Styela clava: one gene and its partner. The protein of the gene in region 2 binds, or shares a complex with, the protein of the main gene of each other region. Links are inferred from orthologs where the notes say so. Each region holds a gene or a part of one and is shown on either strand. Other genes may lie near its edges.

The links.
Region 1: outer dynein arm-docking complex subunit 3-like (region 2) and calaxin-like share a complex: the UniProt entries of both Homo sapiens proteins name them as parts of the outer dynein arm-docking complex. The link is inferred for Styela clava from reciprocal best matches to the Homo sapiens genes ODAD3 and CLXN.

What each region holds. Positions count from the first base shown.
Region 1 is NC_135260.1:14,792,973-14,798,703, forward strand, and holds calaxin-like, read left to right. Parts: upstream 1-4,244; 5' UTR 4,245-4,323; coding exon 4,324-4,977; 3' UTR 4,978-5,231; downstream 5,232-5,731. Other genes in the region: transcription factor MafK-like, read right to left, coding at 177-302, 1,517-1,621, 2,362-2,400; NFU1 iron-sulfur cluster scaffold homolog, mitochondrial-like, read right to left, coding at 5,466-5,486. UniProt on the Homo sapiens protein: Component of the outer dynein arm-docking complex (ODA-DC) that mediates outer dynein arms (ODA) binding onto the doublet microtubule. Seems to regulate the assembly of both ODAs and their axonemal docking complex onto ciliary microtubules.
Region 2 is NC_135254.1:24,000,987-24,008,417, reverse strand, and holds the start of outer dynein arm-docking complex subunit 3-like, read right to left. Parts: upstream 3,011-7,431; 5' UTR 2,862-3,010; coding exon 2,783-2,861; intron 2,025-2,782; coding exon 1,903-2,024; intron 1,710-1,902; coding exon 1,605-1,709; intron 1,309-1,604; coding exon 1,156-1,308; intron 478-1,155; coding exon 373-477; intron 41-372; coding exon 1-40. UniProt on the Homo sapiens protein: Component of the outer dynein arm-docking complex (ODA-DC) that mediates outer dynein arms (ODA) binding onto the doublet microtubule. Involved in mediating assembly of both ODAs and their axonemal docking complex onto ciliary microtubules.

The sequences.
Region 1 (5,731 bases), on a different chromosome or scaffold from region 2:
GGTGACAAAAGTGGTATCGGTACATCTCTACTTGCAAATCGAGTCAAATTGACGTTTTTTCTGCAAAATTTACTATTGATACAGTAAAGTAGTACCGGTGGTTGAATATTCAATATATTTTGACATTTAAGTTATATATATATATATTAATCTGGATAATCATTATTCGCGCCAACCTCTTTTTGCAGCTTCTGTCTTTGTAAATCCAGTTCATCTTTCTGTGTTAATCGTTTGATACGGCATGATGCTGCATAACCACGATTCTTCAATGTTCGCCTTCTCTGTTTTAATCTCCTACTTTCCTATGAAAAAATATTTTGATATATATTTTCAATTTGCATCATAAGAAATCCATTTAGCATATCACTGACACTGCCCTACTTCAGGTAACACATTCCTAAACATTAAGGTGGACCAAGTTTCCACATCAGAAGCAAACCTTCAAAATTTCCAATATGAAATGTAGATGACTGATAAATAAACAGTTGGGTCCACAAATTTTTTAAAATCTATGTTCTAAAAAAAATGATCATTGAAGTCTATCAAGATCAGCAATATTCGGAGTGATAGGCTATGTTCCAATACGCAGCATATACGGTTACAAGAGTAAGCCTTGTGGTAAGCTGTTTATTATATACAGTGCTTTATAATGAATATTGAACGTATAGAACAGTGGTTCTCAAACTTTTTTTGCTCACGGCACACCCAGCAAATAAGAAAAATCTCGCGGCACACTTGTGAAAAATTTGAGCTAGACTTGGACAAATTATTCTACAAATGTTAATGCGATGTGTGTGCCTGTTTTGAGAAACGACTCAAACGAGGGTCCGTCGCTCCCTTTTTTGCTTTTGATTACAGCCAGAGCAGAAAATACAGATTAATAGAGCCATGTAGATGCAAATGGATAGATTATTTTGATGGATTTTGCACCGATGATTGAATAGAATTTGTTAGCAGATAGCCAAAACTCAACCAAACTGGCTTTCCTGTTAGCCTAACTCAGGGGTCTGCAAACTTCGTACTCGCTTGACAGATCGTCATTTGAACGGGAAATGTGTATATTCGGCCCGCAGGTACACAAATTTTGCCGACCACTGGCCTAACTCAACGCTCAATTGAACATAGTGGAAGGTGGATATCATTTTTACAAAAAACATTATCACATCACAACGCAAGTATACTGGAACAATACCCCTTACTACAAGACAAGGCAAATGCAATAATATTATCAGTCTAATTAATTATGGATTATCAAATCTCATAAGTTGCGTGCATGTCTATGTGTAATACAAACAGCTTATTTTCTAGAATTCCAAAAAGCTCCGCGGCACACTTGAGAATCTCTCATGGCACACTAGTGTGCCGCACACAGTTTGAGAAACACTGGTATAGAAACTACTAAATTTCTATTCTTTATATATTTTCCTAACATAACAGGTCTACTTGCTGTATTTTTGTCCATACGTTTCTCTTTTTAAAATCTGTTTTGCTATAATGAAGTATGATTTTATACTACCTCTGGTGTCAGGTTTCGTAAACTTCTGTTAAGATCTCTCACACTCATGTTAAGCAATTCATCATCTGTAAATTGATGTCCTTGTCCAATATTCTCCATCTTGACCTTAAGTTATAGTCAAGTGAGATATACATCAGTACAAACAAAATTAACAGTGACAGTTGAATTAAAGGGTTTCTTTGTCACATATAAATACAAATGTGCCATTCTGAACTGGGAACATAATAGGTTATTAAATGTGCAACTCGTTATTTAAGTTATTTATAGTTTTATTTCAATCTTTCGTCTACAACACAGAATACAAATAAAAAAATAAATAAAGAACACAGACAATGAAGACGGAAAGATCGTGAAAATGGGCAAAACCTAGAGTAATATTTGTAGCCTATTGTTTGTTTGTTTGTGCTTATTCACCCAGACTCAAACAATTGGAAAAAACACATCACAACAATCGTACTTCGTACTTAAAAAGAATGAATTCATAAATAGCATACCATGTTTTTTTAGGACAAGGTCTTATACCAATTTTTTTTCAAATAATAACACTAGGGATTATTTTGGGGGATGGATTTTATTTTCATTTATCAAAAAAACAAAATTACAAAGTACAGAAGTAGACAATTACAAGATTTTTGAATAAATAAAATATGAAAACCGATATCTATTGAACTAAGCTCAGTTTTGTAGTTCGACTGCTGACTAACCGTATTGCAGTACTGAATAAGGTACCGTACAAGAATAGAACACTTTGAGACTAAAAGAGTCTGAAATCTTAGTACTGTAGTACCAGTAGTCTAAAAACACAGAAATATAGCCTAGGTTACTTAGATAGACAGCAAACTTACCTCTGAATTTTTCACAGGCACGTTCTCAGAATCTTCCATCACCTCACACAATGTTTTTTCTCTGACAAAGCTCAAGAATACTGAAACAAGCAGTGTACCCAGATAACAGTTTTAGCACACAGCGAAGGAACTAGAACAGCACAACGTCAAGCGAAAACGAAACTGTGAGTAAATTGCTCTGCAGTGCCACCACGAGTGAGAACATGAACATCAGAATATGGCTTGAAATAAAATGGTAAATTTGCAGAGATTTTATTTCCCCAAATATGGTATGGTATGCACACGGTATGTTAGTCGTTGTTTGCATGACAAAATAATCAGCACATGGGCAATACGTGAATAATAATAACAAAGACTTCAGAAAGAAAACCAAATCAGGAATGAATATAGAATAGATGTAGCATATAATGAAATAGGGACGTCAATTTCGAACGTGACCGAACAAGTCATGAAAACTCCTACATAAATTTGAAATTTTGCTTATACAAAAGTTACTAATGACTACCGACGATATAACAATCATTGTTATATTAAATGTGAAAAAATGGGATGGATTTCAATAAAAAAAATTAATGGTCATTGCATTTAGTTTTGGTAAAATTAGTTTCGATGAAAACCCCCTAACAAGGAATTTCTGCTTATGGCCATGTGATGTACTTATACATAAAGATACTTATATTGAATAACCGAAAAAGTATTTTTTCATAGTTTTGAAATAAATATTTCAACCCTAGTGCCCCAAGATATCGCACACTAACGCTTGGCTTGTACTGTTTTTGTTGGTTGATCATATTTACGGTTGATCTACATCTCAAGTTTTTTCTCAATATCTCACGAGTGCCACCTAGTGATTACATGGTTTCCTTGGATACGAGCATCGCCGCGTTCTTGCTTTCCAGCATTGCTGTGTAGTAAGTAGTCTAAGTTTATCGACTACGTTATACGTCTGTACATATTTTGTTCCGAAAATGCCAATGGAATGGCTGTTACTATTTGTTGGTTTAACATTTCGTGATCACCTACTATATTAAAGAATGATAAAACTGTGTTAGAGGCTGTCAGCAATAGAGATGTTCTTGACATTATCTTCATAACAGTTAACGTTAACCTATAATCTGCTCGCACGCGGAACTGCCCAATGCTTTGTATGTTGTTGAACATATAGCAATTCAGAATCTGCTTTATAATTACCATCTGAATAGTACAGTCAATAACTGGCACTGCCTTCACAGTTGTCCACCCCTGTTTTGTAGTTAACTATGAAACGTGCATTTTGGCAGCTGTTCTCCTGACAAGAAAGCTCCATTAAAAACTGGATTGTGAAAGTCGCCTTTTTGGTCTTTATGTTTTTCCAGTCAACGTATATCATGACTGGGCAAATTATTTATTACAAAATCTATTGGTACCACATAAGGAGTTGTGATTTTGACTTTCAGTGCATTGGGAGTTTTTTAAAAATAATAATATAGTCTAGGCCTACAAGTATATGTTGACTTATTTATTGATATTTGTTTACCATAGTATCAGCCTCAACTATCCTACAATTCCACATGTACTGTTAAAAACAACTCACAAGGTGACTAAAAATCACAACTCAAACCAACCATTGTGGCCGGAAAAATCAGCGGTGCGAAATATCTGTATACCTCCATACCATCTCCCAACAACATATGTTCAAGTGTTCTGTGACTCTAGACCTAAGTAGGTATGAATGATCAAAATTATTGTTCATAATCATCATAGATCTACCAAAAATCAACCACCGCTTCAATATTACAGCAATTTCGTTGACTTCCATTCTAAAGCTTTCATGCTCCTGATAGTTTTTGTAAAAAAAAAATGGAAGATAGGAAAAGGTCAAAAATCTTACTTTGAAACGAAACTATGTCCTGTTCTTTTACAGAGTCATTAGTATGAAAATGAAGTAGAAATTTAAAGTTAAGATATTGTGTATTTGACATAATGTATATCATGAATGGACTTAATAGGAAAAATCTACAAAAAGATGCAGATGATATCTGCAAAGGTGCACCAACACTTCACTTCAATAGAAGAGAAGTCCAAGCCTTGCTTGTGTTGTTCAAAGGTTTCAACAACAAAGGCGAAAAACTTGATCGAAACCAATTTCGAGATTTTTTGCAAGTTTGGTTCAGTATGACAGAAGATCTACTTATGGATCGTGTTTTTCGAGCATTTGACACAGACAGTGACTCTTACATCAACACAAAAGAATGGGTTGAAGGTTTATCTGTTTTCATGAGAGGAACACTTGATGAAAAAATTGATTATACTTTCAAAGTGTATGATCTTAATGGCGATAGTTACATATCGCGTGAGGAAATGTTCCAAATGCTGAAAAATTCTTTAGTAAAGCAACCGACCGAAGAAGATCCAGATGAAGGCGTAAAAGACTTGGTTGAAACAGCATTGAAGAAAATGGATTTTGATCATGACAGTCGTCTTTCATTCGCAGATTTCAAACAAGCAGTTGTAGCAGAAGAACTCCTATTGGAAGCTTTCGGACCCTGTCTACCAGACGAGAAAAGCTTAGAAGTATATGAAGCTAAACTAGCAGATGTTGCAATGGATTTTACAGATTTCTCCTCCAAAAACTAAGTACATTTTAAGCAGATTTAAATTTTTACCAAAGTATGACTAACCATTGAAAAAATTTTCTGAACTTAAATAACTGCACAAGATTCCGCATAAAAGTATTTGGCAATATATGACGAGGTACTAGTACAATTCAGGCCTGATGAGCACATTACTAGCTTAATATGTTATAGCAGTCACTAATAAAACCTTTCCATTCTATACATTATTAGCAAGGCCAAGTTGGTTTTTCCTAACCAATTGCCTGCATATACCATTTACTCCGAATAAAAGAAGTCTATTGTTTTAAATATATGTGTTTATTTATTGCGATAGTATATGTAAATAAAATTATAGGTGATATTTAACTTGAACATTTATATAACTGTAAAATTGGCAGCTGTAGAAGCAGCCAGTATTTTCATTTGTTCTCTCCATCACATTTTCTTTGGCAACGCGGTAAATGAACTATCAACTCATATCGAAAAGCAAGACAAACCTTGGAACTAATATCATGTGGGAGTGGAAGTTATCTGAAAAAAAAATATTGATCTTAACATTTTGTAAATGTGTAGCGCAAAGTATTTCAATGAATTTTCTTAATAAACTTGTTGCACAAATTATAAAAAATCAATGATCTGTGAATTTTCAATTCTGAAAGAGCAGTGTAAATATTTCTAACAATCTGTTGCTTTCAGTATAGTGATGCTTGACACGTCGATATTACAGAGGGTCGGAAGTCACTATGCCAAACTAGTCAAAATCATTGTTTGGGGGG
Region 2 (7,431 bases):
CTTCCTGAGCATCTAATTGATTATGGAAAGTCAGACTCTCCTGTTAAAATAAACACAGTTTATAGACAAGTTCCTTCTTATGTGTGTGATAGAAACAATTCCATTGTCATCTGTTCGACACAAATATTTTGTTTTGAATAATTGATATTTTAATACTCCTTTGCTTTCGCATATGCTTTTATAGGAATAATGAATAAATGAACAATTTTCATTTAATTGAATTTCAAGATAATTCTCTCACAATAAAATGATGAAACTACCTAAAATGATCCTTGCAATCACTGTTTTGCAATTGTACTGTGTAACATTGTTTATTGCAAATGAGTTTCCAACCGGCTGTTTATCACGAATAGGTTCTACTGACTTACGCACCTGTTGTAAATGGGCTTTGATTTTTTCATAAACTTTACTGATGTGATCTGCTTCCTGACTTTTTAATCTTGCTTTATCCAAACGATTTTCCAGTTGTCTTAAATGCTATTGTAATGTAAACATAAAAACAATTCTCAAATATGTTGACACAAGGGTCATATACCAGTGTTTCCATACTTCGTAAAAAGCGTTTCCATAAATTAAAAAATAAAAAATAAATTTGGGTAAATATGGGGGCCAATATGACTCATGGAAAATTAAAACAATATATAAGTAATTATCATCTAGCATCTATTTTCATCTTTAAATACTGAAGATTTGAAATTGATTTGAGATTGATCCCCTTGTTGCGGTGAAAGACAATTTTCCCAATAATAACAATTTAGCAAAATGATGCATGTACACCTCATGTCGTACAGTGAGCATGACTAAGTTTTGCTAAAACTTGAATTCAGACGAATCATAACAAGAATAAAATTGAATATTCATAGATGGATTGATCGATGATTTAACAATTCAAATTCTATACCAGATTATTACTGAAAAGTCAAATTGTATTTTGACATAAAAATGTTCTCATTATCTGTAGGAAATATCGACCAGTATCAAATTTCACAATATCTCTGTATTGGGCATTGTTTGCAGGATTGGAAATGATGTGTGAAGGCTGTGTGAAATAATAAAGATGCTATCATTGATTATTTTCCTTAAGTTAAATAAAACAAATTTCTAATCACAAAAGAAAATTGAACTATTTTACGCATGAAAAAAAATCATATTTACCTGAGCTGATTCACTCTCTCCTTTATCTAACTCTTCAGCAGCTGATTTGTCCTTCACCATCTGATCATGTTGGGTTTGAAGTTCATTCAATTTTCTTTTTCTTGCTTCACTCGTCGATTTCAAAGCATTCAATCTCTTCTTACTGTCACAAACCTGGGCATAATTTTACAAGGTTAGGAGCAATAATACAAATAAAATTACACATGAATTGATAAATTTTAGATTACAATATTACAATACAATATTTTACTAGATTCAAATTAATTTTCTGGTAATACTTTTAATTTTAGGTCAATTCCAACTCATAGCAGGTTTAACTTATTGTAGAATGACTTGGATACAAAGTAGTCACATGCTAGAAAGGCACTTCACAAATCTCACCAAAGAACACCTTTATATTGAAGTTGTATAAAAGTATATTGTCAAAATTGAAAAATAAATAAAATAACCTTTTGATCTATAATCATGATAGCAGTTTTTCCAGACTTGTTACGCAATGCTGCTCGTTCCACATGTCTACCTTCAAATGCTTCATCTATAACTTTATCATCTCCCTGAACAAATCAAAAAGCATGTTCAACAAATTTAAAAAACACGAATGTAATTGAAAAAACATGAGCCAAATTGCACAGATTGTGAAGTTTGAAAACTTTGGAGGTTGTTTTCTAAAAATGTAAACAATGCTAGCTAGAGGATACAGAGAATTCACAAAATATTCTTAATTCTCACACAGAATAGGCTACTTACCGCAAGCAGATCTGCTAATGTCTTGTGCAATGTTTTATTCTCTTGTCTCATTCTCGCGATAATCTCTCTGTTCTTCTTGATTGACCATTGTGAACTTTCATAATAAGCTTTACGATCACCCTCTATAAAAATATAAATTATGAGTTGACTGATCAGTGAGAAAATTTGATCTTTTGACAAACTAAAGTTTAAAATGAGGTTAAAATCAAACCCAGTAGTGAAATCACACTAAATTCAATAGAGCACAGTTCTCTGATTCCAAGATGTCTTAATATTTGGTTCAATAAAACAAACACACAATTTATCTCTGAAACAAGGGCGACAAGGGCCATGCTTGTTTCAATAATTTAAATTTATCATGGCGTTTTTAGCTAAAAACTCTCGAAAGCTATGGTAAAATTTTTTTCAATAAAACGAAAATATGAGGCATTTTTGGATTGCGCTGTCTTTTAGTTTGTTGTGCAGTGCCGGTTTTTCGTCAGTATGGAGGCCCAGACTGTCTCAAGAAGAAATGGGTTGCATTCACTGTTATAATTGATGTCTTTTAATATGGGGACTATCCTTGGAATCGGAGAACTGTGTCCTACTGATATTTGGATTAAAAGAGATAATAAAAAACAATAATACTAAAATATTCTGATGACAAATATATAAATGCAGTGATGATCACTGAGACTTGTAATGAGTTCATTCAACATTCTGACAATTGATCTAACTTACCAGAATTTAAGTGAAAATAAAGTATATCATTGAGTGAAAATAACATATAGGCTACAAATAATTATAATAATGTGTCAGTGTGTAGGGTTTGATACCGCAAAACACCATGATACAGACATACACCATTCTGGACTGCGGTAATTAAAAATTACTAACTTACCCAAAAGCGAAATTTTTTTGGTGATTTCCGATATTTGTTCTTGAATTGGAGGTTTATGCATTCCTGACTGACCTCTCATATTGCTGTTGAGGCGCTGTATTATATCGGTACAGCGATGAAATAAAAGTATAACTTTGAAGTCACAAATATACCTCCAAACAACTAACCGCGCAGATCACGTAAACCAGAATCGTGCCGGTTTAGAGAATGAACACGAAACGTTGCCGGTAGCAACAACTTTGCTCAAACATCAGTGAGAAGTGCTTACCGGAGTCAATATGAAAAGAAGGTGTTAAAGGTGGGTTATCACAGAAATTATTTTTGATGAATTTCATTTTATATATTTTTTTAAAATTTTGACGCTTACTATTTACATAGAGTCGACTTAGTTTTCTACTTATTAATTTCAAAAAATACATTTAACGAAAATCGTCCGCAGTTCAGAAAGGACCTTTGATGACGGGGAACTGAGAATTCCTTCCAGGACTTCATCGCGCATTCGCGAGTAGGATGTTTAACCTCTGTTATTGGCATTTCATTATGGTTTCTCGTTGCGTAGTTTCATAAAGATTGGAACAATAATGCCGCAGGTCGTGCCCTTAGTAAGGACTATTGCTGCAAGCTCTGCGGTAATTTCGAAATCATTATTAACTCCCCGTAAGAAGATCGCCAACTGAGCAGTAACCTTGATGCCAGCATTGATGACTACATGATGCCAGTGCTTTCGTCAAGCGCCAAGGAATACGATGAAAATTTTCCCGCCTTTGCAATTGAAGTCTCCGCTGTTAGACTTCTCAAGTTCTTTGACATGACGAGTTATGGTCTGTCTTGACAGGCTATTTTTGCAAACACCTCTTTTATTTCCGGACGTAAAACATTGGCAACCCGAACAATATATAATATACATTCATTAGCGAATTCTCAATCTGAGAATGGCTTCTATTGTTTTGCGATAACATCATATAGAGTAGTTAAAGACCAAGTGTGTAAGCGGCTATGGCACCTTTATTTATCGATATTTCCTCCAAGTTGGTTTCGATTCGAAATGACCCTAATGTCTCGTTTGCAAGGGCTGGCAGAGCGCATTTCAGGAAAATATACAAATCGTTTGTATCACATCTTTGTATACTACATCACTCAAAAAATAGATTTACTCCAATTTTTTTATCCAATTCTGAAAAATACGGCGCGGGCCACTCAAAATGCTTCCGCTGGCCACGGGTTAGGCGACCCTTCTTTAAAGAAATCTGTAAGGTCCTTGCTAATGATACGAATCATAAGTTATAGAAAACGAATAGACAGACCGTCCGTTCAAAAGCCTTTCTTTAATCCTTTTTGTTAACGATGGAAATAATTTCATATTCTAGTATAGGCTCCAGATAGATTAAATTTTTCTGAGGTTTGCCCAAATACTTCATAAAATTTATAGAATTATTTGCTAGCTTCGATGCAAGATTAGGTCCAAAATTTACAAAGTAAGTGTTAAATTCTTGGCATATGGACTGGGGGTTGTATATGATTCTATGAGTTGTCTCAATTTCGTGTGGAAAATTTCGTTTACGTTTCTTATTGGTGATTGTGTTAATGAGACTCCAAGTCTTCTTTTTGTCGCCCTCTATAGTTCTTTAAATTCTGCTTTGTAAAATTTCGTTTAAGCCTTTTTCTTGATGTGTGAGAGAATGTTGAAGTATCTTTTGTGATACCTTATTTTTGATTTGTCTGTCGACAAAAAATGACATTTATACAAAACGTTTATGAGTCGAGATTAATTTCTTGATATCTATTGGGAAACATGGTTTCGAGACAAATCTCAGTTCTTTGGGTGTTTTTTCCTCAGTGCGGCATGTTTGTCAACAACCGATTTTAGAGTTTCCAGAAGCGTACCGAATGATTTTTCAATATCAAGCTTGAATAAACAGTCAATATTTAATTTAGCTGTTGAGTTTTCAATGTCTTCCAAAAATGATTCAAGGTGGAAGTATTTCAATGATCGCACAAATTTTGTCTCTGAATTCTTTTTTAATGGTTTATTGCGAAGTATACACACTGAAAAGATGGTCAGAAATACCATACCACAAGGCATAATCCAACAACTGTAAATCGTTTTCGTTGCTGTATATATATGTGATCAATTGAGGTGCAAGAGATATCAGTGATTCTGGTATAGGCGCAGTTGTGAACACTTGTAATGAATTAGACAGTAACATGTTTGAGTATTCAAAAACGAAGGAATCAGAAGTTTTGCACAAATTTATTTTAAAGTCGCCAAGAAAGAAAGCTGTTTTCTTGTTTATCATAATTTTGTGCAGCGACTCGTTTAGCAATGTGTGGAATTTTTTGCGAGCTTGTTTGGCATGTCTATATATTTCCGGTACAATCACTTGTTTGCTATTGTTTAGATTGACACTTATCCACAGATCCTTCCAGCCAACAAGATTAAGCTTATATTCATCTGTTTTGAAATATTCAACATAGTCTTTTATGTAAAAACACACTCCCCCGGCCGTTGTTGGAGAATCCTCGTGTATAAAAGAGTAACCTGAGAAGAACTGAATATATACCTGAATAAGATATATATACAGATATACAAAATAAGACTGGGTACAGAATTACAGACAACACCCACATAAAGTATTAAATCTAGATGATTTAAGACAACAAAAAATAGCCTAGAATGTTATTTCACTTTTAAGTATGTTACAGCAGTAGGTCGGGCACAGAGATCGAGTTTTTTTTCAACCTCAATTTGTTAAGTTTACTGTCATTCTAATAATGCAACGACATTCTTTGAAGGTATTGGTATGTTTTTAAACCACTGCGGCGTTTGCCAAGTGCAACTCCCAATAGAACTAGCATACGGTTCGAAATAAGAACACAGAACGCTATGAATGCCTTTAACCTAATGAACAATTATGCCGACGAGGTTTCTGCAGGGTTGATTTTTATAAATGCGTGTCTCGCAAACAAAGTCCACCATACGTAAGCAGTAAACGCCAATATTCTTAAAAAAATATGTATAATTAAATTCGTCATAAAACTTTATCCGTAACAACCCACTTTTCTAAATAGAAATAACGACAGCAACTAGTGACTGTGGTGCATAGTAAAATGCGTCAAAAAGGTTAATAATATAAACGCAAAGTTTACATACCTACTTCACACTCTTCTCGAGAAAATGGGCCCGAAAATGGATCACTTCACATAAGAAAATTTTTGCTTTGCTGTGATTATTCAACAGTAGAAAGTATATTTGCGAGTAGTTTCAATTTACTACCATATTCAATAAATAAATAATTACCTATACTGTTCCAGGAATCTATTACCGATTAGTATTCCCCCTTACATAAAAAGCATAGATGTGAATGTTTTAGAGGAGCGATGCACATCAGCATACAGCAGCATTAGCTGAATTAAAACAATTATCATCATGTGCTATCGATTGGGTGTCTCAGGGACTAACTATTATGTTTCTTTAATTTTTTGTGTCGGTGGATCCGTGTTCATATAGTGCAAGGATGCTGTAGTAAGAGTGAAGATGACTATCCTGAAGAGTCTTGATCGACTTGGGATAATTATCATTCATCATGCTACATATTTTTTTATATTTCCAAATATGGGATACACTTGAATGTAACCAGTGGTGGGATTAAGCCGGTTCGCATCGGTTCTATAGCACCGTCTCACGGAATTTTATGTGATCAGCGAACCGGTTAGAACTACTGGTTACTGTCAATGGATCAATATAAAATAAATATATACACTATACAGCAATATTTTTATTTTTATAGACAATCCTAAACATCATCAAAAATTTTGACAAAATGATGTTTACCCAACCATTTTTTTGAATTGTTAATTAGGGAGTAGTTAAAAAAAATCAGTTTATTTGCCAAAAAAATATGACTTTTTGTAACAGAACCGGCTAAAAAATATGACTTTTGTGATGGAACTGGCTGACAAAAAGTGTGAATCATACCACTAAATGTAACTCCTGTTCTCTTTCGCTTGGATCTGCAGGCTTGTCCATGGGACATATTTTTCTGTCCCATCCCATAGATATGTAAGCCCGTTCCATCCCATTGGAAATATTTTTCAATAAAAAGTTCTAAAATTAGGTTTAGCGTTTACTAAATAGGACTACATGTACAAAGAGACATGCAAAACGACGAAATTCATTGACTTTGTTAAATTGAAAAATTTAGAACTAACTAACAAGAGAGCTATGCTCAAACATATGGACACAAAGTCCATAACGAAATGTTTTGCCATCAATTCCCACAAAATCATACGACATCATGAACGAACCTAAACAGCAACAGTAACTTACCAGTACCTGAACGCTGCGCTTTGTAGCCAATGTCTGCGGACTGACACGTTGGGAAACACTGTTTTAAACAATCACCAACGGTGGGAGCGAGAGTATTCCTGGACCTATTCATAGTGAAACATGAACGATTGATACTAGCTTACGCTAAAGTTTTTTAAACCGAAGCTTTTGCATGTGATGTTTCATTATCCAGTAAGGTTGATGTGTATATCCAACAAACTGCTTTCCCATCTGTATTGAATTAGATCAGTGGTTCTCGAACTTTTAAAAATATTATGCATAAAGGTCCACTTTCAATTTTTCCGATGACTCGCGGTCCACT